Oryctolagus cuniculus: one gene and its partners. The protein of the gene in region 2 interacts with the protein of the main gene of each other region in a biochemical or structural test. Links are inferred from orthologs where the notes say so. Each region holds a gene or a part of one and is shown on either strand. Other genes may lie near its edges. The genes, in order: PKN2, RHOA, SMURF1, SMURF2, CIT, ARHGAP32 and ARHGAP35.

The links.
Region 1: the proteins of RHOA (region 2) and PKN2 form a complex in vitro, tested with the Homo sapiens proteins (2 studies listed by BioGRID, with this or other methods). The link is inferred for Oryctolagus cuniculus from reciprocal best matches to the Homo sapiens genes RHOA and PKN2.
Region 3: the proteins of RHOA (region 2) and SMURF1 form a complex in vitro, tested with the Homo sapiens proteins (2 studies listed by BioGRID and IntAct, with this or other methods). The link is inferred for Oryctolagus cuniculus from reciprocal best matches to the Homo sapiens genes RHOA and SMURF1.
Region 4: of the proteins of RHOA (region 2) and SMURF2, one has a biochemical effect on the other in vitro, tested with the Homo sapiens proteins (3 studies listed by BioGRID, with this or other methods). The link is inferred for Oryctolagus cuniculus from reciprocal best matches to the Homo sapiens genes RHOA and SMURF2.
Region 5: the proteins of RHOA (region 2) and CIT form a complex in vitro, tested with the Homo sapiens proteins (2 studies listed by BioGRID, with this or other methods). The link is inferred for Oryctolagus cuniculus from reciprocal best matches to the Homo sapiens genes RHOA and CIT.
Region 6: of the proteins of RHOA (region 2) and ARHGAP32, one has a biochemical effect on the other in vitro, tested with the Homo sapiens proteins (3 studies listed by BioGRID). The link is inferred for Oryctolagus cuniculus from reciprocal best matches to the Homo sapiens genes RHOA and ARHGAP32.
Region 7: the proteins of RHOA (region 2) and ARHGAP35 form a complex in vitro, tested with the Homo sapiens proteins (3 studies listed by BioGRID). The link is inferred for Oryctolagus cuniculus from reciprocal best matches to the Homo sapiens genes RHOA and ARHGAP35.

The regions. Positions count from the first base shown.
Region 1 is NC_091438.1:82,155,713-82,159,550, forward strand, and holds the end of PKN2 (serine/threonine-protein kinase N2), read right to left. Parts: intron 3,496-3,838; coding exon 3,388-3,495; intron 3,178-3,387; coding exon 3,097-3,177; intron 3,011-3,096; coding exon 2,807-3,010; 3' UTR 104-2,806; downstream 1-103. UniProt on the Homo sapiens protein: PKC-related serine/threonine-protein kinase and Rho/Rac effector protein that participates in specific signal transduction responses in the cell.
Region 2 is NC_091441.1:99,830,758-99,835,385, forward strand, and holds the start of RHOA (transforming protein RhoA), read left to right. Parts: upstream 1-1,700; 5' UTR 1,701-1,977; intron 1,978-4,628. Other genes in the region: TCTA (T-cell leukemia translocation-altered gene protein), read right to left, coding at 764-818, 1,149-1,371. UniProt on the Homo sapiens protein: Small GTPase which cycles between an active GTP-bound and an inactive GDP-bound state.
Region 3 is NC_091450.1:41,317,123-41,320,960, reverse strand, and holds part of SMURF1 (E3 ubiquitin-protein ligase SMURF1), read left to right. Parts: intron 1-218; coding exon 219-257; intron 258-1,304; coding exon 1,305-1,413; intron 1,414-2,511; coding exon 2,512-2,645; intron 2,646-2,771; coding exon 2,772-2,837; intron 2,838-3,838. UniProt on the Homo sapiens protein: E3 ubiquitin-protein ligase that acts as a negative regulator of BMP signaling pathway. Mediates ubiquitination and degradation of SMAD1 and SMAD5, 2 receptor-regulated SMADs specific for the BMP pathway.
Region 4 is NC_091448.1:14,185,559-14,189,130, forward strand, and holds part of SMURF2 (E3 ubiquitin-protein ligase SMURF2), read left to right. Parts: intron 1-1,138; coding exon 1,139-1,340; intron 1,341-2,576; coding exon 2,577-2,652; intron 2,653-2,971; coding exon 2,972-3,071; 3' UTR 3,072-3,572. UniProt on the Homo sapiens protein: E3 ubiquitin-protein ligase which accepts ubiquitin from an E2 ubiquitin-conjugating enzyme in the form of a thioester and then directly transfers the ubiquitin to targeted substrates.
Region 5 is NC_091452.1:15,911,966-15,915,803, forward strand, and holds part of CIT (citron Rho-interacting kinase), read right to left. Parts: intron 849-3,838; coding exon 707-848; intron 1-706. UniProt on the Homo sapiens protein: Plays a role in cytokinesis. Required for KIF14 localization to the central spindle and midbody. Putative RHO/RAC effector that binds to the GTP-bound forms of RHO and RAC1. It probably binds p21 with a tighter specificity in vivo.
Region 6 is NC_091432.1:122,787,893-122,792,367, forward strand, and holds the start of ARHGAP32 (rho GTPase-activating protein 32), read right to left. Parts: upstream 2,961-4,475; 5' UTR 2,827-2,960; coding exon 2,711-2,826; intron 1-2,710. UniProt on the Homo sapiens protein: GTPase-activating protein (GAP) promoting GTP hydrolysis on RHOA, CDC42 and RAC1 small GTPases. May be involved in the differentiation of neuronal cells during the formation of neurite extensions.
Region 7 is NC_091449.1:10,575,052-10,579,435, forward strand, and holds the start of ARHGAP35 (rho GTPase-activating protein 35), read right to left. Parts: upstream 3,013-4,384; 5' UTR 2,717-3,012; intron 1,836-2,716; exon of another isoform or gene 1,696-1,835; intron 1-1,695.

The DNA of each region.
Region 1 (3,838 bases), on a different chromosome or scaffold from region 2:
GACTACTGAATGGCTGGCATTCTGTTTTAGTCACTTGCCTATTTTCTAGAAAATGGGGCCCAAAATTTAAATATTTAATCTCAACAGAAAACCACATACAGTATTTGGTACTTGAATTTTATATTATTGCAAGCTGTTCTTCATTCATAATCACTTGTTGCTTTCTTTTTTCCACCTTCTTATACTCAGAGTCTAGCTACATGGTTATTCCATAAATATCCATCAAATGAAAGATGCTAATTGCTTTACAAAAATAAAATACAAATTTTCTCCATTGTTCCCAGTGAAAATGGACAATTTGTTTTGAATTTTCATGGTTTTAAAGCCTTTCCCAGGACAAGAAAGTACTTGTGAGAAGGCAAATTTAAGGTAATCAATCTTTGCCATTTTGAACATAATAAATCTAACACATATTTAATCACCAGGAAGTTTCTAAAAGGAAATAATACTTAAAACCAAAGTTACAAATTCCATCTATTTAATTTGTGCACTTGTGGGAAATTTATGACTGCAAACACTTTTTTCTTAGAATGACAGAGTTAAAGGCACATTTCATTTGAATGCATAGTGTACCATTCTAAAATATCCTAATTTCCTTACAAAGTGCTTGAGCAGTCACATACACATACAGTAATAGCAAAATATATTTACACTCTATAGAGCTTAAAATTTTAAATCTAAAATATATATATTTTAAAAACTACAGAAAAAATTAGTGCTTTCTTCAGCTTAATTGTGTGAATATACCCTGCCCTCTAATTTTCTTAGTGATTGACTTCAATTTTTAAAAAAATTTCTGTACACTGTGTAGTTACAAAATGTTATGTCAGTTTTTAATGCTAAAAGCCTATTTTAGACTTTGCTTTCTATGCATATTTGAGAACCAGCAAAGGTGAGCAGACTGTACCTCAAAAGTATTTAGTGTCTTATGAGTATTTTAATGTTAATACTGTTTAAATTTAAGCCAATTATGCTAAATTCCTCTACTGTCTTTTGCCAAGGAAGTTAACTGGCATTTTAAAATAACTTTAATCAACATATTGCTCTTCTTCCTACAAGATATTCTCCCACAGGATCTTGGGTAATAATCAATTTTGAAGGTAATAGGAAGTATCTCTGGACAATTTTAATTGTTCACAGAGTACAATTAAAAACACACCAACGCATTCAAACAAAGTTGAAATATTTGTAAATGTTTTTAGCTCAACTCCCTGTGCTTTCATGTTTCTCACAAGATTAAACTGAATAATTTTTTAACAGATGAGTCCGCTGTGATTAAATGATTAATCCAATATGGTTAATTAACAGGTAGATATTCCTGAGGTATAAAGACCCTAACATGCTAAGCACAGGATCAAAGATGTTGTTACTGAACAAAAGAAACAATGAAATCATGAAGTAAGAGTAAAAAATCCAAAACCAAACCAAACCAAACCAAAAAACCAAAAAAAAAAAAAAAAAACAAAACACCTCCAAGCAAGTGGAAATTCATGGTTTACAAAAAGACATCCCTATACGAGTGAAAAAAGCCACAAACGGATCCTCTGAAGAGTTGTCAAAAGTATTTGATCAATTTTTTTTGAGACTTTTGAGGTACAGCTTTAGTGTTATAATATTTTTATAAAATATAGACTGTTTTATCAAAAATATTTATACATTCTGTTACAATATATTGCTTTTGCCCTCAGTAACTGCCAATATAAAATCTGGATCCAGTGGCCTAAAATGTACAAATGCACTTAATGTAAATGCTGGAGTTTGAGGTGTCTGCTTGGCCACTGTACAAAAGTGATGAAGTAGTGAAATTAAATAATAAGCCTACAACATAGAATACATTACAACTTGTACATATACATGTTCACAGCATGTATACAATGATAATCCTACGGTTTAACAATGATATAGTTCCCTTCTACAGCAGACACATGAACACGATGAACTAGACTGATAAATGCAGAACAAGTATCAAAAAAGGGGTAGTCAGTTCACTGATTCTGGAAGAAGATATGACTGAATAAATCGGGTGTCTAGATTTCGGGAATGCATAGAGGTAAGAGTATATCTTGGTTCAGGCTGATTAGAAGTCCTTATTCTGAACAATTTAAGGAAATGCTGATTGTTTCAGCATTGTTTAATAAAAAATAAACTGTTTGGCAAGTAGCTCTGTTGGAAAGCTATGAGGCTCTACTACATGGTTGATAAAGTGTAAGGCAATAAAAATTTTTCTCCTAATAAATATAGAAAATTTATAAAACAAGATATCAATTCATTTTGTTTTTCAAAAAAATTAAGCCTCAAAATGTGCACAAATTGCCACTACAGATTTTTTGATATAATAGTAATTTTTTAAAAATAAGAGCATTTGCCTTATTCAAACATAATCATACTTTGTATGAACAATAATAGCATTCCAAGCCATTTTTGTTTTCTGTTTGTAAAACACAAGTTAAGTGATTAATCTTCTTTCCACTTAAGGCAGGCATATGGCAAAGCTAGGGACTATGAAAGAGTGGTTTCTTTCTTTCTTTTTAAATAGACTATTGTTCCAAAAGTATTCATTTGTGATGGATTTTCATGGCCAATGTTCTTTCAGCTTAAACTCCTCAAATCTGCTTCCAGTGCTCAGAAAAAAAATTTGAGAAGCCACTTTTCATGAAGGTATTAAAACAGTACTTTTAAACAAATCTTCATGTGTTTTAAAAAACAACTCAGAAGCTATTGGTGGCACAGAGAGCAAATGAAGGGTTGCTATTCTTAAGAGGTCTTCTTGTGAGTCAGTTCGCTTGGTTTCACAGTGTCTCGTAACTTAACACCAATCAGCAATGTAGTCAAAATCTCTGAACAATTCTTGCTCCTCTTCTGAAAGTATCCTTGGTTCTCGAGGTGGAGTCAGAATAGGTGCTTCTGAGGTAAATTCATCATCAAAATTACTAACATCTTCTCGTCCTCTGATAGTAGGTACAAATGGTGGCTTTACTTTTTTGTCCATCAGAGCACTCCAATCAATTAGCTGGATTACAAAACATAAAATGACCAGTTTAGTTTCCCATTCCCAATTGCTTTACTTTTATCAAAACTTTCAACTTTCATACTCACCCTGAAAAATGGGTGCTTTTTTACATCCTCTGCATCTTTCTCACCAGCTCCAAGGCGCCGCTCAGGATTTCTTCTTAACAGCTAACACAATATAACATGGAAATGTTAAAATAAAACCCATAAAGTAAACTTTATTGATAGGGATTCTTGTAACATCCAGAGATTTAGATATTTTTTAATGTTTATCTAAACCATGCAACATCTACGAGCTGAAAACCAACTTCCAAAGTTCTACTGAGGAATTTCCTTTTATAAAAATAATTTAAGTAGCTTTTTAAAAAAAATTCTTACCCTTCTCATTATGGAAATGGCTTCGGTAGATAAGAACCTTGGATATCTTACTTCATCGTTTACAATACTGTCAAAAACCTCCTCTTCATCATCACCAGGAAAGGGAGACTGGAAGAATATTTTTAAGTAAGTTAAAATGAGTTTCAGGAGGTGAGTGCTTAGTGCAGTGGGTAGGTTACCACTTACGAGAGCCACATTCCATACCAGAATGCCTTCTCTACTACCTATCTGGCTTCCGGCTAATGTGCACCATGGGAAGCAGCAAATGATGACTGAAGTAGTTAGGTCCCTGCCACCTATGTGGGAGACCTTGACTCCTGGCTTCAGCCCAGCCCAGCCTTGGCTGTTGTAGGCATTTGGAGTAAATCAGCAGATGGAGTATCTTTTTCAAATAAAATGAAAATAAACAAATAAAAATTAATAAAATGAATTTCAGTGCACTAAATCTTAT
Region 2 (4,628 bases):
GGCTGGTGCTATGATGCAGTGGGTAAAGCTGACACCTGCAGCACTGGCATCCCATATGGGCACCGGGTCATGTCCCAGCTGCTCCACTTCTGATCCAGATCCCTGCTATTGCACTTGGGAAAGCAGTGGAAGATGGCCCAAGTCCTCGGGCCCCTGCACCCAAGGGGGAAACACGGAGGAGGCTCTTGGCTCCTGGCTTTGGATCAGCACAGCTCTGGCCATTGTGGCTGTTTGGGGAGTGAACCAGCAGATGGAGGATCTCTCTCTCTCTCCCTCTCTCTAACTCTGCCTTTCAAACAAATAAATAAATCTTAAAAAAAAAAAAAAAAAAAGAAAGACATCTCTGGCTCCTGCTGTGAGCAGGGCCTGGGTTGTCATTGTTTTCTGGGTCTTCCATAGCCCCCATCAGAGATTAGTTTTATAAATGACCCTAGTGAGGTCAGTTGGTGGGCTAAGTACAGCGGCTCCTGCCTTCCCAACTGAGGCTTACAGGGAGTGGGATCCAGAAGATCTGTTAGTTCATCTTTCTGAAATTATGACAGTACCACCCCCCCACCCCCGGACAGCTCAAGTGCTGATGGACTTTCCAGACCTTGGTGTCAGCCCAGCCTAAACCCTGACCTCTACATGCAGACCTGAAGCTTGCTGCCAAGGCCACTGTGCTGCTGGATTTGTGCCCTGACAACTACCCACCCCATCACCAGCACGGGCGTGTTCTCTGCCTGCCATGCATGGGGCTGGGATGGGGGACGGATCTACTCACCACGAAGGGAAATGTGTGGAGCCATCAGGTGTGGATCCATTCTGGCCGCCCAGACCTGAAGGCAGGAACACAGCCAGAGCTGCAGTAGACTGGGGGTGGGGATCTGGGCAAGCATCAGCCCAATTCAGGGTAGGGGCCGCTAGTGGAATCTGCCAGGGGTCCTGAGTCTGGTGACGGTTCTAGAGATCAGTTACAACGTGATGGGCGGAGCGGTGGGGATTCTGGCATAAAATGATACGGTATGATAGCATAGGTCAGGGTAAAATACTAAGTTCTGACGATCTTGGTGGACTTCTGGTAGTCTAGGGGGATTCTGAGGAACCCAATGGTTCAGTCTGGTGGGGGCGGGGGCGGCCAGCTCACGGAGGTTCATAGGGAGCCTCACCTGGGCGGTGATACAACCCGGTCACCGTGTTCCCGTAGAACCCCCACGCCAGCTGGATGCCCAGGAGACTTAACACCAACCACAGCAGCAGCAGTTTGAAGAGGGTCACACGCATGTCCTGCGCCTCCCACTCCCGCAGAAACTCGCTGCCCAGCGCGCCCAGCGCGCCTAGCACCGTGGCCGGCAGAGCCTGCAAAGACTGTCCAGACCAAGACTCCGCCATGACCGGCCCGCGCCCCACCCGGGGTACTGTCACCGTAGTGCACACCGCGCAGGCGTAAGGTCTTCCGGGGCTAGGCCCGTTAGTGCGCACGCGTAGAACCAGGCAGGGCGGGCCTACCTCGCTTGGGCGAAGAGTTGGCAGTTTAGGGAGGAGTATTAAAACCGCGCACGCGCACTTAGCCCCACCCTACTCCCTTAAAGCATGAGTGACTCCCGGAGTATAAAATAGCAACCGGGTCTTTTATAGCCCCAGAGTTCCCGTGATGCCCCACGCGGCTGTAATGATTGGTTGAGCGTCTTGCTTTTAGGGCGTGGACGCGCGCCTGAGCTATCGTGGCTGAGATGTGAGTGTGCGCGCGCGCGCGGGGCCGCGACCAGGGCCGGCTCGAGCCCGCTGGGCGCTCGGGGACGCGCACGTCGCTCCCCGCCCTCCCGCCGCCGCCCGCCCTCGCTCGCTCGCGCTCCCCGCCCGCCACCCGCCGTCCTCCGTCGGTTCTCTCGGTAGTCCGCCGTCGCCGCCTCAGCTACCCGCCCTCGTCTCCGAGCTTGCGACTCGCGGACAGGCGTCCTCGGCGCGAAGAGGCCGGACTCGGAGTCGTCGCCCGAGGTGAGCGGGAGGATCCCCTCCTGGCGCCCCGGGCCCGCCCGCCCGCCCGGCACTTTTCCGGCCGCCCGCCCGCCCGCCGCCCCGCCGCCCCGCCGCGGCCGCGCCCCACCTGCTGCTCCCGCCCGGCCGCCCCCGGCCCCTGACCCTCACTCCAGCCCGGGGCCCGCGCCCCGCTCCCGCGGCCCCGCCCGCGCCGGCCCCGGAAGCGCGCCCCGCCGCCTCCAGCGCCCCTTCCCCCGCCCGGCCGGGCCTGCTGGAGCCCCAGCCGCCCGCCCGCCCCGGAGCTTCCTCTCTCACGGCCGCGCGGGGCTGGGCGGGGGCTCCTGGCCGCGCGGCGCGGCGCAGCCGGCAGCCGCAGAGCGCTCGTGGCTGTCGGAGTTGAAACGGGAGAGAAACTCTTTACAACTCCATTTTACCTTTTCCATCTGCTGTAGCACATGAATCACCGTTTTATGCAGAAGTCCGGCTGTGCTTTGAATAGATTTGCCTTTTTTTTTTTTTTTTGATGCGGTATGCTTGGAGAGAGTCTTAAGTAAAAAAGCTTGTGTTGAGGTCTTAGGACTGCTGCCTGAATTGGGGCGGAAAAGGGTGTTTTCCAGTTGAAAATTTTTAATGATTTAAACAACGTTGCATTAAAATGCAGGTAGTTTTGCCTGTGGAAGTTGCTGCCTTTTATTGGGACTCACCTAAACATCTGCCCCTGGTTTTGGATAGGATACACAGTTACAGGGTGTCTGCATTAAATAGCATTGTTTGCCCCCAGGTCGATTTCGTTAAATGCAGTGTTTTGTCATTTCTGGTGGAAGCTTGCATCCTTTTTACCTCCGTGTTGCTTCCTGTTGTGTTTCCTAGTAGTCCTGTTCTCAAAATGTTAGACTCTGTTGGTCACTTGTTCGGTTATTTCTGCCTTTAAGACGATCTTTTGAAGTAAATGTGTCTTGCAGGTGTGCAATCAGATTAGATTCCTCTCTGCCAAATCTGAAGGGGAAAAAAATGTCAAAGCCCCAAACCTCCATATTTTAAAATGGTGTATATGGTGAGACTTTTTCAGCCACTTAGTGTCACACACCCAGGCTGGGTTGGTGGAGATGTTGTATGTGGCACAAATGACATTGTTTGGGCTGAAACTTACAAAGACTAGTCCTTAATTGAAGCATCTCTTGATAAATTTCTAGAGACCCTTTAAAACTACAAATCTAAGGTGAATTTTAGACTCCTGTGAGTCTATGCCACTTGTCATTGTCACTAGTAGCCATAATGCAGTTGGACCCAATGTGTTGTCTATAGCAGTCCATCAAGTCCAAATCAATTCTAAAAGTTTAGGTTAGGTTTAGGTTAGTTCCATCTACTTTTGTAGAGCACTTTATGGCTCTTGGGGACATAAAATATGTAAGATGGAACTTGGTTTTAGTCAAAGTCTAGTACTAGGTTTACTGTCCTCATAAAAATCTGTACTGGAGAGAATAGAGTAGGATTATAACATCGATCAATTATCTTCATAGACCTAGTACTAAAATGAATTAAAATCATGTAGTCCAATCACATCTGCAGATGAGGAAACTGAGTCCCAGAGACTTAATTAAGCAGGATCATACTGGTATTATCTAGCTAGAAGCAGGCCAGAACTGTTTGCTCTGCAGGATATTCTCAAATACACTCCCAAACAGCTGGACTAGAGTCAGCTAAACTTTGGGACTTACTCTACCGTTTTTTCTTTTATACCTTGCTGACTTTACATAGATTGGGAGAATGTGAAAATTGATTTGCCAGCCAAATTTCAGTTCCTTAGCTGTCACAGCACTCTCCGTAACGGGATGGTTCCGCTGCAGTCACTTGTGAGAAATACCTGAATATACCTGCAAGGTCCTTGGCTGCCTATTCCTGGCTTTAGGTGTTTGGGTCTCAAGCGACCAATTTCCGGAGAGAGGCCCAGGCCTGGCTGCTCCAGAACCAGCCTAATGAGGTCAGGCTGAGATGTTTTCAGACAACTGCGGGCTCTTTTGCTGACTCCTGATAGGGGCAGGCTGAGGAAGGAACTGTACATATCAGGGTAACAGTCCCCTGTGCACATGTGTGTTGTGGTGGTTTTTGTTAGAGTATTTTCATAGTTTTGGTTCCTATGCTGTCAGCCAGTTAAGTTTTAAAAGTTTATCCTAGGTATATGGGGGCGTGAGTTATTAGGAAAGTAAAAACGGGCAGATCTTAGGTGTGTGTTGTCGATAGGGTGATATGCAAGTGGTTAGTTGCTACTTTGGGTCTTCTTAATTGTCTTTATTTTTTTTTAAGATTTTAAAAATACATATTTATGTATTTGCAAGGCAGAGTTAGAAAAAGAAATCTTCCATCTGCTGGTTGGCTTCCCAAATGGCTAAAACGTCTGGGGTGGGGCTGGACCAAAGTGGGAAGCCTAGAACTCTGTCCAGGTCTCCCTGGTGGGTGGCAGGGGCCTAAGCACTTGAACCATCCTCCACTGCCTTCCCAGGCACATTAGCAGGGAGCTGGATCAGAAGTGGAGCAGCCAGGACACACTTGTGTTAGCGAGCTGAGAGATATATTAACTCTGAGAGCTAAACTAGAGAATTAATTTGGGCTTGCTGGACTTCTACAGATAGCACATTGGGTTTAACAGAATTACAGCTACTAGTGATAAT
Region 3 (3,838 bases), on a different chromosome or scaffold from region 2:
TGTAAATTCAACCTAAAGTCTTTCCTATTGGTGATGGCCAGTCCCCAGCTTGAGGAGAAAGAGTTGCCGAAGTTTTGTTTCGTGTGCTCCTGAATTTGAGAAAATGAACAGTTGGCAAAGTTCATCTCTAGGACTTTTCCCCTTATTGCAGATGTAGATGACCTCTGGGGAGAATCTTGTCTGTAAATGCTAACCCTCGTATTTTTTCTCATTTTCAGTGTTATGTGCCAAGAACCTTGCAAAGAAGGACTTCTTCCGTAAGTAAACACCGATTTTTGCCCTCTTACATTATTCTTCATGTGTTTCTGAAACTTTACACTTTTTAAAAACCCACTGGGTGCGTTCTCCAGTCTCGCTCTTCCCTGGGTGGAGATCATGGTTTGACAGGTGTCATTTCCCAGGTGACCGCAGCCTAGGGGCCGCCTCCTCAAAGGCTCCGAGCTGCCGAGTGGCACCGAGAAACCTGTCCCGCTGCCAGGCCAGCCACACCCGGGCGCCTCTGCTTCCCCGCCTTGTGGGACCTTGCTCTCTGCTGGCTGAAGTGTTCTCAGCTCAGATAAAAACGGGAAGACTTTTCTAAAAAAACAGCTGCGAGTGTCCACCACAGTTAAGAATTTCACTCGCACTGTGAAAGCCCTGTCGTTAAAGGGGTTATAAAAACAGAAATCTTTTCTGAAGCAAGGAACGCTCCGCTCCTTAACGGAGGGGTGGGGCCTGCAGGCCCTGAGTTCACGCAGCTCTGGTCTCCCAGTGAGGGGCTCAGCTCTCGCGGGGTGTGAGTGAAGACACTTAGGCTCCAAGGCTTCATCCAAGGAGCTGGGAAGCTCGGGTGGTGGCTCTCCTCTAGGTCCGGCTCAAACCCTCCACCTCGCCACCCGTCTGATCCCATAACCCTGCCCGATTCATCCTCCAGTGCTTAGGAATGTGCCCGAGTAAGAGGGAGTACTTGCGTCCAGCGGTGAGACAAAGACCATCCACGGGAATTCTGGGAGCTACTATAGTCTTAGAATAAATGCAATTTATTAGAAACTCTTTCCTCTCTCTGCATGTAGCCCCCACTATACAATCAGTACGCATGGAAAGTGAAAAGTTGAAGTGAACCCTGTTTTATAGTTTCTGTCCTCTTCGATGTGGAGTATGAAGGCATACCGGTTTGTCCCACTTAGAAAACAAAATAGAAATGACTGACTTCACCACTGGGAGCTCATCTTAGCTTGGAGGCTGACAGGCACAGGGGTCCCCATCCTGCGGCTGGCTGCGCGTCCCTCAGCCAGGCGTGGGCGTGGCTGTCCTCTCTCCTCCAGGGCTCCCGGACCCCTTTGCGAAGATCGTCGTGGACGGGTCTGGCCAGTGCCACTCCACCGACACCGTGAAAAACACGCTGGACCCAAAGTGGAACCAGCATTACGACCTGTGAGTGCCGCGCTCCGCAGCCGTCTGGGGTGCCGCGGGGGGCGGGGGAGGGGGAGCTCGCTTCTTCAAGAGAAGCCCTGAGAGATTGACGATGACCAATGTGAATCGCCTCAGTTTCGGGTTCATGTGCGTGGATGTTTTTGCCTTCGGTGTTTCATCGGTTTCTGTGGTCTGGCTTTGTAGCAGTGCCCCTTGTCCTTCTCAATCTCCTTGGCATTTATCAGGAAAAAGAAAAAAAGCCCTAGTTCCTGTCCCTTGCATGCTACACTGTCGCCTCAGGGGACTGTTGAACACTGTAGCGTTTCCCTAAAAGACATGATGATTGTATAGATCTGCTGAATTTTTAGACGCTTTTTCTTTTTAAGGAATATCTATCTTGTGCAGGAAGAAATAGTTTTGCATGATTGAGTTATATAATTCAATATATGAATTCTGGGTACTACTATAGTCTTAGAACCATCAGGCAAATTTTTACGTTCATTTAAAAAAAAAAAAGGAGTGCGCTTTGCAGCCCACTGTGTTATGTGCACCCTTGCTAAGAAGTTTCGGTCCGAGTGATACTGAATGGTAGTGTTACAATCGTCAGTAACACGTGTTGTGTGGCGATAGGACTTTCAGGGGTTACAGCCTGAGCCTGGGTCAGTGACGCCACGCTGCCATTAGTGGCTTGAGAAGCGGTTGTCAATTTCTGTCCTCAAAGCTCCTCTCTCTGGTCGGCGTGCCCTGAGACCCGCTGGAGACTGAATGTCTTAGTATTCTTTTGTGTCCTCTGAATGGCTGTGTGGGTTTACAAGGAGTCCCTTGATGCAACCCAGTGCTGTGTGTGAAGCCTAGTTGGTGGGGTTTATGAGCCCGTCGCCACCCTGGGGCGCTGTTACCGTGGACTCAATCTCCGGTCTGAGGTTCCGATCGCCACGTGGTCATCTACGTTTGCCCCTGCGTTGGCGCGCCGCCCTCGCTCAGCCCGCTGACGTTGCTGGGTGTGTCTGTGCACGTGCGCGGGTCGGGGGAGAGCCAGTGTTCCTTTGCAATAAGATGGGATGTCGCGAGAAGGCCTCTCTCAGAAGCCCTGTGAAGCAGCGAGCCTGGTCTTTGCAGGTACGTGGGGAAATCGGACTCCATAACCATCAGCGTGTGGAACCACAAGAAGATTCACAAGAAGCAGGGCGCCGGCTTCCTGGGCTGCGTGCGGCTGCTCTCCAACGCCGTCAGCCGGCTGAAAGACACCGGATGTAAGGACCCAGAGCCTCTCGGTGCTGGCGGAGGACGCGTCGGGGCGTCGGCCGAGTGCGGGACTCCCGCCTCCCTCCTCCCTCGTTGCCTTTGCCTGGGTTAAGGTCTGAATTGTGTGTTTGCAGATCAGCGTTTGGATCTATGCAAACTAAATCCCTCCGACACTGACGCAGTTCGTGGCCAAATAGTGGGTAAGAGCTTTCTCATCTGTATGGAGACGCTTTGACCGGTCAGTTCCTCACCCGTGACGAGCTGGCCACACGCGGGCCACCCCTGCAGTCCCTGCCCCTCCCCCCTGCCATTCCAAGTTGCAGAAAGAGACAGGGTTGGACTTCTAAATGTCGCTCTGATCGTTACTGGACACTTTGTGCTACTCAAGGTAGCTGATGAGAACGGTGGCCGCACACACGAGAGAGCTGGGCTGCGGTGTCTCCGTCCTGTGTACACAAGGCAAAGGCCATGGGGAAGAATTCCGTGTGGCGCTATTTACAGTCAGCGGGCTGCCCTGCTGGGAGGGAGCCACTCACGTGGGCTGATGCCCCCAGGCTGGAGGCCTCGGTTGAAGGGAGCTATCTGTGAAGTGGCTCTGAGTGTCTCAGTGTTGACTGTGGCTTTGCAGGGAATCAGGGGCAGCCGCAGGAGTACCGCGACTCCGCGGTCTCCAGGCGCCGTCTCAAGTAGCCTTGACCCGAGATAAGCGGACAGTAGGTCAGCACGCTGGGAACCGTCACAGCAAAAAAGTTAGTTCCCACTGCGTTTCTTCTTGCCGTTTCTCCTGGCCTGTGCGGAGTGCTGGGGGAAGTGAACAGCTGGACGCAGCCTCTGTCTTTAGCGTTTGTATCAGACAGAGAATTAACCCTTAGATCCAGCCAGACCTTGCAGGGAGCGGAAGAGCTCTTGCTGTCAGATCCTGAAAGTTACGGTCACTGTCACTGCTGTTTATGGAGAGCATAAGAAATACAGCGTCCTCTCCCGCCCCGCATCTGTGAGCTGTGTCCTCCGCTACTGTGTGTGGTGGGCACAACTGCCAACTGCTGGGGCACAGTGCTGCCTGGGGAACCCCTGTGGTGGGGGGAGGGAGGAGGGAGGGGAAGAGAGAGAGATGGGGGAGGGGGAAGGAGGGAGGGAGAGCGTGAGAACAGGTGCCCTGTTGTGTGTTCTATAGCACATCCATTGTAGATTCACAATTGTA
Region 4 (3,572 bases), on a different chromosome or scaffold from region 2:
TTCGTGAAATGGCCAGAGGGAAGTAGTCAGAAGGAGGAGGAGAACATAGCAGGAATGTCATCTGTTTTTCATCTGTTTATACAATGAATGAGGAATTTGGCCTTGTAATTGCCACTCCTCTAAGGAAAAGAATTTAGGAGGTATCTTTTGTGTTAGAAATATGCCCATAATCTTTTTTGGATAATATCCTCTCTGCAAGTATGGCTTAGATTCAGTAATCTTTTTAGGACCCTAGAGTAGCTTTGTGGAGATTTTGTTTAGTGGCATTAGGATTTATTATATAGTTTGTACTGCTAATGAAATCCTTGAAGTTTTAAGAAGAAAAAAAAGTGTTTTTTAGTGTGGTACTCTAATGAGATTAATTATATAAAATCTAGGATTTACAAGTTATATTTTATTCCACACACTATTGTGATTCAGTGTCATAAACAGGTTGGATTAGCTAGATGAGTTGGTCTTGGACCCTATGAACCCTAATGTGAACATTAATAGTATCAAAGTGATTTTGAAATTGTTCATCTGTACTGACCCTGCATTAGGCTGCCAAGCAGAGCTCTGTGTTCCTGTATTTTGTGTTTAATATCATTTCAAGATTATTAAGCACATTGTATAACCACTTGTTCAAAATACATTCTTTGAGTTGCTGGCACTACAGGTTGCTTTCCCAGGGGTTAGTAAAACAGATGCTACTCCCTCCCTATGACAGCAGAGAGAGGACTGCTGGCTGAGGGAATGAGCTGAGTTGCCCCAAATCACAAAGCTAGTAAGTGTTGAAAAGGAAAACAAATGTTAATTATACTCTTTGGTTCTCATTTTTTGTCCACTTAAAAAACTTCAGAATTCTATTATGAAATTAGAACCACAGAGGTGGTTCTGACCCTGTGGAGGAACCTACAGTAAGTAGGTACCTCTGGAGCTTTTTAAAATATAAATCTTCTCACAGTGGATGCCCAGAAATAAACCCTCTAAGATAGGGCCTGGTGTGTACTTCGAAAAGCTTCCCAGATGATGGTGATGTTACCTTTGATTAAGAACAAGCAAATAAGAACCAACACTACGAATCTATAGTTCTGTATTGAGGAATTTGGGGCATGGCTTTGGTTTCCACTGGCTGATGACTTGTGCAATATTTTGACAGCTCATTATTTGCGGACTTGGAAAGATAGATGTTAATGACTGGAAGGTAAACACCAGGTTGAAACACTGCACACCAGACAGCAATGTGGTCAAGTGGTTCTGGAAAGCTGTGGAATTTTTTGATGAAGAGCGACGAGCGCGATTACTTCAGTTTGTGACAGGGTCATCCAGAGTGCCTCTCCAGGGCTTCAAAGCGTTACAGGGTAAAAAGCCTGGGGACGGACAGGCCACATGGTATCACCCTTGGGGTGGGGTGGGGTGGGGTGGAGGTGTCAGTGTTTGGTTTATATGAATATTTTACAAACCATGTGTTTATGAACAGATTGTCTTTTCACTCTGTTTCTTACCTGCAACTTTCACATCATGATACCTTCTTCTCCTTCCTCTCTCTTGTTCCCCTCCCAAGAGCCTTTTCTGCGGGGTTCTCTGTGATTGTAGTGAGTGCCGCACGTTAGAGATCGCACTGTACGTGGTGATGCTCTGCCTTTCATTTTCTGGCCACCGTGCTGTTAATTCTGTTGCACATTCTTGTATGGGAAGTTGTCCACTTTCATCTTTACATCTCAACTTGGCAAAACATCTACCCACCTGGATGCCTCTCTTGTCTCCTTTTTATTCTTTTAATAGAAAGAGACAGCATGAGTCATAGAACCCATCTGTTTGGTCAGAGCACTTAAATTATTGCATGGCATTCAATCATTTATTTACAACCATATTCCATTTTTAAGAATTGCTTCCTTGGAATAGCTGTTTAATTTTTGGATGAACTGGTAATATTGCTAGAAACTGTGGTGCATCCTGGGTGGCAGCTACTTCCTTTACCTCATAAGCCCTTCATTTTCAAAGCTAATGCCACTGCTGGTGATGCGTGAAGAAACACAAGGTGGGTACATGCCTCAGCAGTGCCCCCTGCAGTGGGAGCGTTGAAGTCCCTGGGCAAAGCCTACTGAGCTGTGCCTCCCTTCCCTATTCGGAGAGCTGTCGGACTGTCCAGATGCATAAGAGAGGCTGCGTTTCTCCTGCACTCGGTGTGGGTTTCTGTGTTAACTGGAATTGATTGTATAGGCTGTTAACCTGTGCTGTCAGCCCAGTTTGAATCATGAAATTAAATTTGCATTAGGTTGCCATTTTCTGAATGTGTGCCTATGTATGTTATTTTGAAATTCTTATACTGATTTTCTATAAACGATGACAAAGGCATTTCAATTCTGAACTTTTTCTGAGATTGAAATGCTAGCATATTCAGGAATCCAGCCGTATCCAAGGGCAATTCCAGCTTTCAAAATCCAGATTCTTCCCTGCTGCCGTTGGTAGCATGTGTGGATTTGCCAGCCTTTCCCTTGCCCTAGACCCTGTGGTTTGTGGACCAGTTTCAGGCTGAGACTCGAGAGGCTGTGCGCGGGCCTGCAGCGATGTGACCCACATTTCCTCATTCGCAGGTGCTGCGGGCCCGCGGCTCTTCACCATTCACCAGATTGATGCCTGCACCAACAATCTGCCAAAAGCCCACACTTGGTGAGTTATTTTTGTAGCTTCTGCCCCTTCCCCCAACTCCATATACATAGGTGTTAGTTCACATAGATTTGATTTTTCATTATTTTTATTATTGGTAAATGAATTTTTAAAAGGATAAGCAACTCTTTTAAATAATTTGAAAGTTAAGATTATTCAAAAATTAGTGGGAAAAGCCCAAAGTGGTAATCTCTATTTTAGAGAAAGTACAACCTTTACATTTTCTGCATGACACAGAGTGATATGGCTGTTACCAGTGTATTTGCCAGACCAGTTTACTTATTTTGAATGAACTTTATAAATCTGATTTGCTTATTCACAGCTTCAATCGAATAGACATTCCGCCCTATGAAAGCTATGAAAAGCTCTATGAAAAGCTGCTAACAGCCATCGAAGAAACATGTGGATTTGCTGTGGAATGATGAGCTTCAAGGACTTACCCAGAACTCTATTTATATCCCTGCCGACAGCCTCCTTTCAGCAGAATTTCAAAGAATGCTGAAATACAGGAAAACATCCCCATCCCCCCCTTAAATTTTTTTAGGACACTGTGAGGGGAAAGGACAATTTTGAAATTCCTTTTCAAGGAATAAAAGGTCTTTATGCTTTGCCATGAGGCCACATTCAGCTGCTATTTAAAATTAATATCTTGAACTAAAGAATGCTGACTTTTCCTACATTTCCAGAGTTAGGCAGTATTCTACACTTTAAAGACTACTACTATTTTTATAAAAGGTAATCTATTCAAATTGCTTCACAGAGTTCACGTTTCTCAAACATCAAGACAACTTCAGCAGTCGGTACAAGTCCCATTTCATTTTGATTGAATACATGATTTTGAACAGCTCCTGTACTTCTTTGTAAAAAAAAAATAATAAAATTATTTTGAATTATTCTACCTTTGTAAACAACTGGCTAAAAGG
Region 5 (3,838 bases), on a different chromosome or scaffold from region 2:
CTTTCAGACATCAGCAGCCCTTTCCCGCGCTTGTGTGACGACTGAAAATGTCCCCAGACGTTCTCGGGCTTCTCCAGGGCCCAAAACACCACTGGCTGGGAAACGTGCGTGTGAGTGGAAAGAGCCAAGCACCCACCACGCGGGAGGCAAGCAAAGCCAGAACCATCATGAGGACAGGGCCAGCTTGAAACTCCCAGAGCCCTAGATGCTCTTCCCTTCGTTAACTCCTTCCCCCATTTAAAAAAAAAATCAAAAATTATGCTTAATGTTACACTTAACATTATCAAGACAGCTATAATTCAGAATCAATGAAGCTAATTAAAAACAAGTTATATTCATTAAAATTAAATATTGTGGGGTCCCTAAGCACTGTGCTGATTGTACCTAAAGATAAGCCTGCCCTGGGTGAGTGTAAGGATGGGGTTGGAGGATCCGTGTGTTCCTGGGACCAGACGTTCCTGGACTTCTCGGTTTCATGGCCCAAATACATTCATTCTTCAAACTGAGTTTCTGTTGCTTGTAACCAAGAAGCCTTGGTCTCTAAGCTACAGCAGATGCAACCTGAATGTGAACATGAACCTGGTCTGTCTCGTTTAGACCAGTGTCCTTACCCTCTACCACCACCACTAACCCACTCCGCCTTTCCCATCCTTCTCGTTTTCTCTCCTGGGACAGTGTCCAAGAAAGAAAAAGGTCCCGAACTTACACTTCCGGACGAAGTTGCTCACGTGCTTAATTTTCATGAGAGCAGGCTGACTGCATTCTTCAAAGAGAACAAAGAGGGCATCCAATATCCCTTCTCGGGAAAGAGGAGACATCTGCTGCTGAGTCATGAAGGGTGGCTTCCCCTAAAAACAGCAAGCAGCAGATGGAGGCACTGTCAATAATGATAAGCTTTGATCAATAACATCCACGCAGCGTAAATTACAAGCCACCAACTCGCTCACTGATCACGACACCCTCACAGCACAATTCCGTGGCAACGTCGATCACTGCCATTAGCATGGGTTTCTGCCTCCAGTGCTTGGGAAGCAAACTCCACAAGCAGCCCATTAATAAGACAATGTCCTGGGCCGGCGCCGCAGCTCAATAGGCTAATCCTCCACCTTGCGGCGCCGGCACACCGGGTTCTAGTCCCGGTCGGGGCACCAGATTCTGTCCCGGTTGCCCCTCTTCCAGGCCAGCCCTCTGCTGTGGCCAGGGAGTGCAGAGAACAATGGCCCAAGTGCTTGGGCCCTGCACCCGCATGGGAGACCAGGAGAAGCACCTGGCTCCTGGCTTCGGATCAGCACAGCACACCGGCCACGGCGGCCATTGGAGGGTGAACCAACGGCAAAAGGAAGACCTTTCTCTCGTCTCTCACTGTCCACTCTACCTGTCAAAAATTAAAAAAAAAAAAAAAAGACAATGTCCTTCATTCTTGATGGTCTGAGGTTCGTGTACTGTTTCCTTGGACCCTTGGGTCTGACATGTTACCCCATGTCCACACTGCGAAACCATGATGGTCACTTCTTTTGTGTGTGACCACAGGCTTGTTGATATCACTTCAGTTTCTTGAATTCGTTGGGACCATCTAAACAGTGTGGATGGAGTGACTATCATCAAGCCAAATTTATTCATGATTTGGAGCCACAGTTACAAACTGGCAGACTGTGTCTAGCCCACAGACATGTTTTGTTTGGCCTGTAGTGTTTTAAATAATTTGAATTATCTGCCAATATTTAAAAATCAGAAGATTTCACCAAAATAAAAAAAATGAAAGTGAAATGTCTGGCTTCCCTCACCACAGCAGTGGCTCTAACAGCACTGTCCCCAACAGCGCCATCCCCGTGGCTGCCTGGCGACACTGGGCACGGCTCCCCTCTTGGCAGCAGGTGTGTCCCTGAGCTCACCGAAGACCTGACTCCCAGGCTCCTACCTGGCTCACGTGTCTGCGGGGCCCCTGACAACATGCACCTGCAGCCCCCGGTCTGGAGTTAGAACTCCATGGGCTGGGCCACGGACTGCAGCACAGTCCCTCAGCAAACACGGCCGCAGCACTTCCGCCGTTCTGGAGATGTCTCCTCCCCCTGAATCTGTGCTGATACTTGTGTCAGTCATCAGAACGTCACCAAAGTGACCATGTGCCAGGTCAGGGCAGAGCCCTTAGGAAGCCTGGCCCCATCTGCTTTGGCTTTTCTGGGAATCTGAAAGAAGCTTCAGCTAGACCAGGAGTCAGAAAACTATAGCCCATGGGCCAAATCCAGCTCGGCATGTCTTTATAAATAAAGTTTTATTGGAATACAGCTGCACCCATTCATTTACACATTGTTTAAGGCTGCTTCTGTGCTCCAACGGCAGAGCTGAGTAGTGGCAAGCAGAACTACATGATCCAGAAAAGCCAAAATATTTATTTATTTATTTATTTATGACAGGCAGAGTGGACAGTGAGAGAGAAAGAGAGACAGAGAGAAAGGTCTTCCTTTTGCTGTTCGTTCACCCCGCAATGGCCACTGCGGCCGGTGCACCACGCTGATCCGAAGGCAGGAGCCAGGTGCTTCTCCTGGTCTCCCATGGGGTGCAGGGCCCAAGCACTTGGGCCATCCTCCACTGCCTTCCCGGGCCACAGCAGAGAGCTGGCCTGGAAGAGGGGCAACCGGGACAGAATCCAGCGCCCCGACCGGGACTAGAACCCGGTGTGCTGGCGCCGCAGGCGGAGGATTAGCCTATTGAGTCGCGGCACCGGCCCAAAATATTTATTATCTACAAAAAAACACAAGCTCTGGGCTAAGAACACTGAGTGATGAGAGACCCGCTGGAGCAGAGAGGCATCAAGGAGGAAGACTGAGGGCCGCAGGCAGCAGTGGGCTTCCAGAGGTTCCAGTCCCAAACACAATCACAGCTAAGTGTGGCTCCGGAGTGACCCCACAGATGCCTCAGGGTGAGGCGTTAGAGCACCTAGGTGCGTCCAGCCAACCCACAGAATCCTAGGAAAAAACAAATCACTACTGCTTTGTGAGTGGTTTGTTAATCCAACACTGGATAACATAAGCAGACTGGTTACATTTGGAGAACTTCACACACACACACACACACACACACACACACAGATTCTCTGGTCCTCTTTCCTACCTACTGAATCAGAATTCTCCCCATCAGGGGCCCACATTGTGGCCCAGCAGTTAAGCCACCTGCACTGACAGCCTCCCATAGCACAGTGCCTGTTAGAATTCAGCTGCTCAGCTTCTTATCCAGCCTTCTGCTAACGGCCTGGGAAGATGATGGAAGATGGTCCAAGTGCTTGGGTCCCTGCACCCACTTCAGCCTGGCTCAGATCTGGCTACTGCAGCCATCTGGGGAGTGAACCAGCAGATGGAAGATCTTTCTCTCCCCCACTCTCTGAGACTCTGCCTTTCAAATAAATTGTCTTTAAAAAAATATAGAATTCTCCAGATTATATCTTAGAATCTTTTTTATCATTCAGTTCCCACAAAAGACTGAAACTTCAGTGGGTTTTCCAAGCACAGGGTCACAAGTCACCCTGTCACTTTGGTAATAGTTGCCACTGACTCAGAAAAATAAGATTCTTGGTTTCTTCTCTTCTTCAATGAGTTTAGATCAGCTACAGCAGGAGTTTCCAAATATAGCACTGATTCTTAACAAAGTTTTCAACAGCCTGCAGTAAAATGAGAAAAAAATGAACACCACACCATATCTATTTTATAAAGCCAAATGTATTTAAATTTTAAAACGGTCCTTTATGCTGAAAGGATGTACTTCCTCTCTTGGTGTGCCTAAAATGTCCTTTCTTTATCAAATAAAAGGGCAGAAGATAATAGATTTTTCTTTTTTATTACTT
Region 6 (4,475 bases), on a different chromosome or scaffold from region 2:
GATTCATCATCTAGAAAATGGAAAAAAAATAATACCCACTTTATAGGATTAATATAAAGTAAGCCAATATATAACAAATAACAACTTAGAGCAATTTTTTGTGTGTTGGAATTCAAAAATTTATTTTTCCTTTTCTACCTTATATTTCTCCTTGTTAATCACAAGATTCTGTTAATGATCACTAAGGACCATTCAAAACACTCTGAAGGTCTCTAAATATTGAAGTGTAACAGCAATTTTACCATGGTGATAAGGTAGATAACCACCCAGATTATTACCTTCATACTACAAATGAGAAATCTTCATATGAGAGATTTGTGAGTCAAGGGTGCACAAGTTTGAACTACTTCCCTGAAACAGATTGTGCAACATCCTATAGTGCTAGAATCTAAGAAAGAGTATCCTTTCTACCAACCAAATCCAAAAACGAAGGATACTCCAATTGCTACTAGACAGATACTAGCTCCTATCCGAGAGCACTTCTCCCTAACTCAGGTGCTTGTTGGAACCACCAGAAACTGCATTCTAGATAAAATAGGACCTCACTCAGCCATGGTGCCAAGTGAGACGATGCTATTCTTTTGAGAGTAAACGTAAAATCTAACATAGAAACTATTCAGAGAAAAAGGTCACTGTATAATCTTCTGTCCTCATTTTATTGTCTGTTGTGCACTTGCGGAAACATAACCATAACAACATTTTTGGTTTCATATGTAATAGCATGGATTTTTTAAAAAACTAGATAGGATGAAGATTTATTTGTACATTTTTTAAAAATTATTATTTTCACAAGATCAAGTCTCCTATAACACTGAATCTACTGTTTGGTTCTCCCAAGGTCACAGCCGCAACTCCTCCTATCCAACCCTTCACCTTCCACGCCCACACACACATTTTTTCTGCTAGGCATTTCACAGGAATGAGCCGGGATGTTGTGAAAGCACTCTGCTGCCATGTTTCCTCATGCCGCACTGCTGAATAGGTGAGAAACACTACATGATATTGGCCCTTATCCACATCTCTTTGTTGCATTTGTGAATACTTAAGATCAAATCTCAAAATCTTATTTAGTTTGGGAGGGCCATAGTGATATTCAGATAGGAAATGTAATTGTAAACAGAGAAAGAACAAACGTCCAATAGTCTCATGATCTCCTAAAACAATGTATACACTAAGACAGTTCTCAGAATAAAAACTGCTGTCACATATTCCTCAGAAAAGAACATTTGTTTTTAACTGTCCAAAGAGGGTCCCAGAGACATCTATCACCTAACAAATAGATCTAAGTTTTTTAGATACCAAACCTATTACAACAGCAACAACAAAGTAAATTGTTTCTTCCATGGACAAAAACCCCCAAATAACTTACACAAGTTTAATACCAAAACAAACCAATTCAACACAAACAAAACAAATATTGTATTCCCACTCACTGTTCCTGTGACACTGACCATGCTGAAAACTAAGCGTACATGTAACATTAGCATACCCTGGGAGAAATGAAATTTATTCAAACCAGCAAGGCTAAATAAAAAATGAGAGAACAAGAAAGTTGTGGGGGAAAAAACCAATCATATCCAAATAAAGTATTTCACTTTCATACTTGAACATTAAATTATTCTTTTAAATTTTTAGATATACTTCTCATTTAGTTTAAACCCCAGTTAACAAATTCAGTATAAGTTATCAAGTGTTCCTAATATGGAATCCTTCCTGTCACTGAACCTATAAAAAATGAAAAATAAAATCTATGCATGAAGAATATGTATATATTCTTTTTGAACATTCAGCATGAAGACAATATCTGATAAAAATGGTATGCTCAAGCAGCATACCCAAGCAGTCAAAGGTGAAATTATCAGATGTTTAATTGCACATGTGGGTGGCAATGATAAAATATAATACAAACTTTAAACTTCACAAAGATATTTTTAATGCCTCCGAAAATGTTAAATTGTTAACACTGCATGAAAAAGAAACGTCAAAATAAAGTTTCCTGAAATCCCTAAGAGTACAGCAGACTTAGTACACCACTGATCCTCTCTCCACAAGTTGGGTGAGTTACCGTCCTTCCCCAGTCACTCAGCCACTCGGCAGGTACCCTCTATAAACTTCAGTTATGAAGCTACTGTTACAGATGCAATAACCAAGAGAGATTGGAGGCGGGTGGGGTGAGCTGTTAAAGACACAGACAAGAGTAAAGATCACAAAGTAAAAGCCACAAAATAACCAATTTGTTCTTAATTAAAATTTTTCAAACACCTGCATAAGGCAACCAAAACAGGCAGACAGACAAATACACCACATACCCTAGAACCCATTCCAAGAAAAAGAGGAAGAAAAATCTATTACATCCAAATTCAGATCAAATCTATCAGATAGAAATCAGATACAGGAAGGGTAGCAGTTCATTGTGAGTCGCCACTTGAAATTCCTGAAATGCTACTGCAGAACCTGCCTAACACCTTCTCTTCCTGGTGTTCTAACAAGTCAGTTAAAACATATTTTACAAGCTCAGGGCAAGTTGTGGAATGAAGAGTGCCACATCCAACTCGAAACCTGTCTGCTTCAGCTGAAACCTCCCCACCCCCGACCACCCCCTCAGAAAGACGCAAAGCAAAAGAGTTGGAAACACAGAAGGGGGGGAGGGGGGCAGGGAACATGGAGGGACAAAGGCTGAGATTCGGGGAATCTCAAATTCCATAATTACCTGAAATTCTCTTCCTTTTCTCCCTCCTCACTGTCAGTCACCTGGGTCCTGACTGCTGAATCCAAACAAAATACACTGTCATCCCCCGAAATGCTACTCTCACTTTCAGTGTCCATCTTGTATCTTAAAAAGTGGAATCCTCAAGGCATGGGAGAAACAGCACCAGTGTCCAGGCTGTTCAGCGATGTACGCACACTCAGGTGTGTGGCAGGTACTCTGCTGGCAAGAGATGGTACTGGTTTAATGACAGCTGGGGCACAGACAGGAAACCACAGGCAACACATTCACTGCGTCTGACTGCCCCACCTGTGATACCTTGGGCCCTCCCACTGCCCTAGGCTCCCTGACCTACATAATCAAAAGCAGAGTCCATATGAAGGTGATTTTGCACTAATTACTTCTTTTAAAAATTATTTATTTATTTTGAAAGAATTACAGAGAGGGATAAAGAGAGAGGGAGAGAGAGTCTTCCATCTACTGGTTTGCCTCCCAGATGGCTGCAAAGGCCAGCACTGACCCAGGCCAAAGCCAGATCTCCCACATGGGTGGCAGAGGCCCAACCACTTGAGCCATCTTCCATTGCTTTTCCCAGGCCATTAGCAGGGAGCTGGATTAGAAGTAGAGCAGCTGGGACACGAACCAGTGCCTATCTGGAACGCCAGTGTCTCAGGAGGCAGCTTTACCTACTGTATCACACCACCAGCCCCTAATTACTTTTGGAATACTATCTTTCCTTTTTCAAAATTTCCATTTAAATTCATAATAGGTATTTTCCAAAAAGTAGACTTTTCTCTATTTGTAGCTTTTTGTGATCTCAAACTTGGGAAAAGTAAAGAGAAAACCAGAAACATAACACTACTGATAAAGGTTTCCAGGGCTAAGCACAATGACAGGCATGTTACAGGTAGCGTAAGAGGATCACAATTAACAGAAAAAACAGGAATGGCCTAGGGACTTGCCCAGCTCCATGCCCTGGAATGCTGACACCTTCTCTTCTGCTGTTCAGTACTGCAGCCACGCAGACCTTGGCTCAGGGAGCCGCAGCAAAATGGAAAAGCCAGGCTTGCCTATGACCAGTACTGTGGTGCGGCTGGTTAAGCCACAGCTTGCTGAACTACTCCATTTCAGTCTAATTTCCTGCCAATGTGCCTGCGAAAGCAGTGGAAGATGGCCCCCAGTACTTGGGTCCCTGTCACCCATGTGGAAGACAGGCCGGAGTTCCTGGCTCCTGGCTTCAGCCTGGCCCACACCTGGTTGTTGCAGCCATTTGAGAGATGAACAAATATATATAAGATTTCTCTCTCTTTCTCACTCTCTCAATTTTTATTATTCTGCACTTAAATAATAAATATTTTTAAAAAGAAAAATTAAATTGTCACAAGATGGAAAATGCTGACAGTTACAGAATTCAACTGTATACATCCACGGTGTCAATAAAATATCTTCTGGGAAATGAATGAAAAGTATAGCATCTGGGGCTGGTACTGTGGCATAGCAGGTAAAGCCGCTGCCTGCAGTGCCAGCATCCCATATGGGCACTGGTTTGAGTCCCAGCTGCTCCACTTCTGATACAGCTCTCTGCTATGGCCTGAGAAAGCAATGGAAGATGCCCCAAGTCCTTGGGCCCCTGCACCCCTGTGGGAGACCTGGAGGAAAGCTCCTGGCTCCTGGTTTCAGATCAGGGCAGCTCCGGCCATTGAGGCCATCTGGGGAGTGAACCAGGATATGGAAGACCTCTCTCTCTCTCTCTCTCTCTGTAATTCTG
Region 7 (4,384 bases), on a different chromosome or scaffold from region 2:
AGTTTGGTCCTAGCGCAGTTAGGAAAACCCTTCCAATAAATACTCCATCACACCAGACGGCAGCTTTAATATGCCACTGCCTCAGGTCACAGGAGAAAAAAATTCAGGCTTTTGATATATTTACAGAATAAAACAAGCCAAAGTCCCCTCTCCCAAGTTAAGGAAGAAAAAGGGTTGGATGACTTTTCTACAAAACCATCTCTACCTCCCAATCGATTTCCTAAGCCCCAGCCCCAGCAGACCACTGAAGAGAACAGCTCAATGAAAGGTAACAAGGCACAGTTCCCAGGTAAGAAGTCTAAATCCACCCCATCAGCCAGCTCCCGGCACCCCTCTCCACGCCATCAAACCAGGTCACCCAAAGGGTTTGCTTGGGGAACGTCATGGCCCACCCACACACCCCTGCACACCGCGCCCCTGGATTAGCCTGTGGATCTGGCCAGAGGCTCTCGGCTCCTGTGGCTGGGAGCGCCTGCAGTGCCAGGGGGCAGAAATCCCTGTGACACTTGGCACTCTCTCTTTCAACAAACAACCGCAAAGCTTTGCAAACCCAGGCCCTCACCAGGCTGCACCAGGCTGAAGACCGGCAAGCTGGAGCCTTCCTGGGGCAGGGGTGAAAAAGAAAGAAACCCACCTCCTCCGAGCCCCTCCCCCAAGGTCAGCCGGCCAAGCGGAGGCCGTCAGGGAAGCCAGGGCTCCGGGAAGCCAGGGCTCCGTGGCTTCTGCAGGCCCAGAGCAGTAAACACCAAGTGTGGCCATAGCCCCGAGGGACTGAGGAGAACTTGAGAACTGGCATTTCCCCAGCTAGGGGTAAAACAGAAACACGACTTGTCAGCTGGAAAAAAACAAAAAAGCACACTCCTAAGATCTCCCAGCAGGACTGCCTTGGGGCAAGTGTCTCCCTGCCCCAGCCCAGGAGAGATAAGGACCTGCGAGCAGCTGCAGTCCAGGGGACACAAAGCTGCAAAGCCCAGGGATGGGAAGGGGAGAGGAAACCAGGCCCGAGTGCGAGCCACTCCCGACACTCCACTAGCCTCGGGAGAGGTGGGAGCCGTGGAGACACTTCCAGACTCCAGGGAGCAGGAACCTATTCACCCGGCTCTCTGGGGATCCTGGGGACAGAGCCCCGGGAGGGGGGGTCAGGTCAGCCTCAGAGCTGAGGGCTGGGGCCCAGAGCCCGCCAGGCCTGCAAAGGGGAAGCACTCCGGCAATGCTGAGCCATGGGTGGGGAGCCGGCAGAGGCAGGTCCGACAGGAACTGGATGGGAAGAGAAGGAGCCAGGCAGGATGCGGTGGGGAAAGGGGGGAAAGGCGAGGAGACACGGAGGCACAGACCGCGAGAGGGGTATGGAGAGGGAGTGACCTAGCGAAGAGCTGAGGCGGCTCCCAGAGGAAGGAACGGCTAAGACGACAGCTTAGTGTCCCAGCAGAGAGGCCAGGGCCGCAGCAGTGGGCACAGAGGGGCAGCAGGTCGGGCGGACCGCGGAGGGAACGGATAGGAGGCAGTTGTCAGAAGACCGGCTAGAGAGGACCCCTCCAACAGGGCACGGCCACAGGACGGCTACCCACAGGCGCACGGGCCGGGGCCGGGGCCGGGGCCGGGGATGGGCGCAGAGCGAAGATGCAGGCCTGGGAGCTGCGGACGCGGCGGGGGCAGAGGCACCGGGCAAGTCCAGGAGCAGTCAGGGGGCAGGGCGGAGGCGGCGGCAGGAAGCAGGCTCGGGCCGGGCAGGGCTGGAGGGGAGACAGTCCCAAAAAGAGGGAGCGGCCGGCAGGGCAGCTCAGAGGAGCCCCGAGAAGAAGGCGCGGACGAGGACACCTGCGAGGGAACTGGGGGTGAGCTCCGGCTGGTTAGAGAGGGCAGGCAGGCACCTTGAAGGGGGAGGAGGCCCAGCAGGCACCGAGGTCGGGCGAGGGGCAGAGCAGGGAGGCAGAAAGGTCTGGAGCAAAAGCTGAGCGGGGCAGCAGGCCAGCACGGCGCACGCAGGGGCTGCGGGGCCAGAGGCCCGGCCAGCAGCATCCCCGGGATGGAGACGAGGGCCCGACGCGAAGGGCTGCAGGGCCCCCGGGGAGGAGCAGGGACGTCCTAGGCGAAGACCTGGGCGCAGCCGTGCCCCCGCGAACGGGGGTGTTGGCTGGATCTCCAAGAAGCACCCGCAGGTCCTCAAGGGACAGCTCCTGGGGGCGCGAGAGACCGGGAGGCAGGACTACCGGACAGGTCCACCCAGGAGCCGGGGCCAGAGCCCCAGCGTGGTGGCAGCAGAATCGGGGAGCGGAACGCAGGGATGCACAAGGGGTCACCGGGGAGGAGGTGGGTCCCCAGGGCACTGCGGAGGCCAGGAGCGGCCAAGGGCATCCCCGAGGGGCAGGGGAGGGGAGGGGAGGCGCGGAACTGCGAGCAGGGAGGGCTGACGGGGGTGGGGGGCCAGGCAGACACCAGGTCCCGACGGGCTGGGGATGGGAGCAGACGCGGGGACAGCAGGCCCCGGGCGGACAGGGGCGAGTCCGAAGGGCAGGCGGGCCCTGCGGGCCGGGCCCGAGCGCGACGCGGCGGGGCCGGCGGGGCCCGGGGACCTGGGGGGCCGCTCCCTCCCCTCCCCCTCCGGCTCCTCCATTGTTCGCGGGCTCCGGGCCCCGCCGTCCCCGCCTCCCCCTGGACCCCGCAGCGGGGCGGCGCCCGGCCTCGCCGCCCGGGGCCCGCGAGCTCGCGCACTCACCAGCCTGCGCCCTCAGCGCGGCCCCGGCCTCGGGGATCCCGGCCGCGGCGACGGCGGCCCCGGCGCCATGTTCCCCTGCTCCTCGTCCAGCGGCGGCTGCGGCGGCGGCGGCGGCTCCGGCGGCGGGGGGCCGGGCGGACCCTCCCTCGCGGGCTCCCTCCTCCGCCTCCTCCACCTCCTCCTCCCGCCGCGCCGCGGCTCTCCCTCGGGGCGGGGGGCGGGGAGGGGAAGGGGGGAGGGGCGGGAACCAGGGGGAGGGCGGACCAGCCTCGCTCGCTCCCTCCCTCCCTCCTCCCTCGCAATGGCGGCGGCGGCGGCGCCTCCTTCCTGCGGCCGCCGCGCCCGCGCGCGCGCACACACACACACACACGCACCCCCCCGCCTCAGGACTGCGCGTGCGCGGCGCGGGACCGCTGCAGGGGGATAACGGCCCCTGGGCGCGCGCCGCGGGAGGGGCGGTGCGGATAACCGGCGCGAGGCAGCGGGAGCCGCGAGAGCGCCTGCGCGCCCGCTGCGGTCTGGGACTGGGAGCGGGCGGTGCAGTGCGCCTGCGCCCCGAGGAAATGCCGCTCCTGCGACTGCGGCGGCGGCGGCGACACCGAGCGCGAGGAGACCCGCGAACGGGCTGAGGGAGCGGGGCGAGCGAGTGCGCGTGCGCGGAAGGGGCTGCCCGAGGCCGGCGCGAGGCGGAGGGCGTGGCCCGCCGTGGGAGCGCGCGTCCTTGCGCGCGCCGGGAGCAGCCGCTGCCGCCCCCCGCAGCCTCGCGCGGTCTCTAGGAGAAAACTGGAGCGGAGAGGCATGGCCTGGCTCTGGAGGCGGGGGCAAAGGGCGCGATCCCGCTCGCGCGGGACCTAGGTAGCCAATGGGAGGCACGGGGAGGTGGGCTTGCCGCGCTAGCCGCGGCCCCCGGGATAACGGAGGAAGAGAGAGAGGGGGCGACGTAACGTGGGGCGGTGGGGCGGGGCCGGGGAGGAGGGAGCGCACCCAGGGAGGGAGTTGATTGGGCAGCGCGAGGAGGCGTGGCCCGCCGCAGCCCAATCCGAGCCTGGCGATTCGTCGTCCCGGAAGAAGGGGCGGGGCTGCGGAGCGCGTGCTCTGCGCCGGGGGACCTGCGCCTGCGACCCGCGTGGCGGCCCGACTTGCTCTTGACCCCGAGGTGGGCCGGGTCCCTGGGACGAGGAAGGCGGCCCGGCCTGGCTCGGCGTGCCTCCTTGCCCGCCAGCCCAGCGCCGGGCAAATGGCTGGAAGGCAGCCGGCGTTACGGACGCTGGAGGGGAGGCAGCGATGGGAGGGGCCGCCGCCGTCACCTTTGAGTCCCCCGAACCGAGAAGGGGTCCCTCTGGGATTCGTGCGGAAGCAGGGGTGGGATGGTGGGAGAGGGGCTTTCCCGGCGCCGCCGAGTCAGCCTCTGTGGAATGCATGAAGAGGTCTCTCTCTCAAGTTACGTGAGTGTAATCTCTCTGGGAAGCCCAGCACTCATGTTGCGGATAAGGGGGAACTCCTTATACTTAAAAAATGCTAAAACTCACGCCACGCACGAAGTTCAGTGCTCTACTACGTAAAATGACGTGGAGTCGAATTCTAGAACGTCCCATTCAATAAAGCTCTTCTGATCAAAGATTTTTCCCATGAACGTTTTTCTTCAGTTTAGCACTTTTAATGCATCTA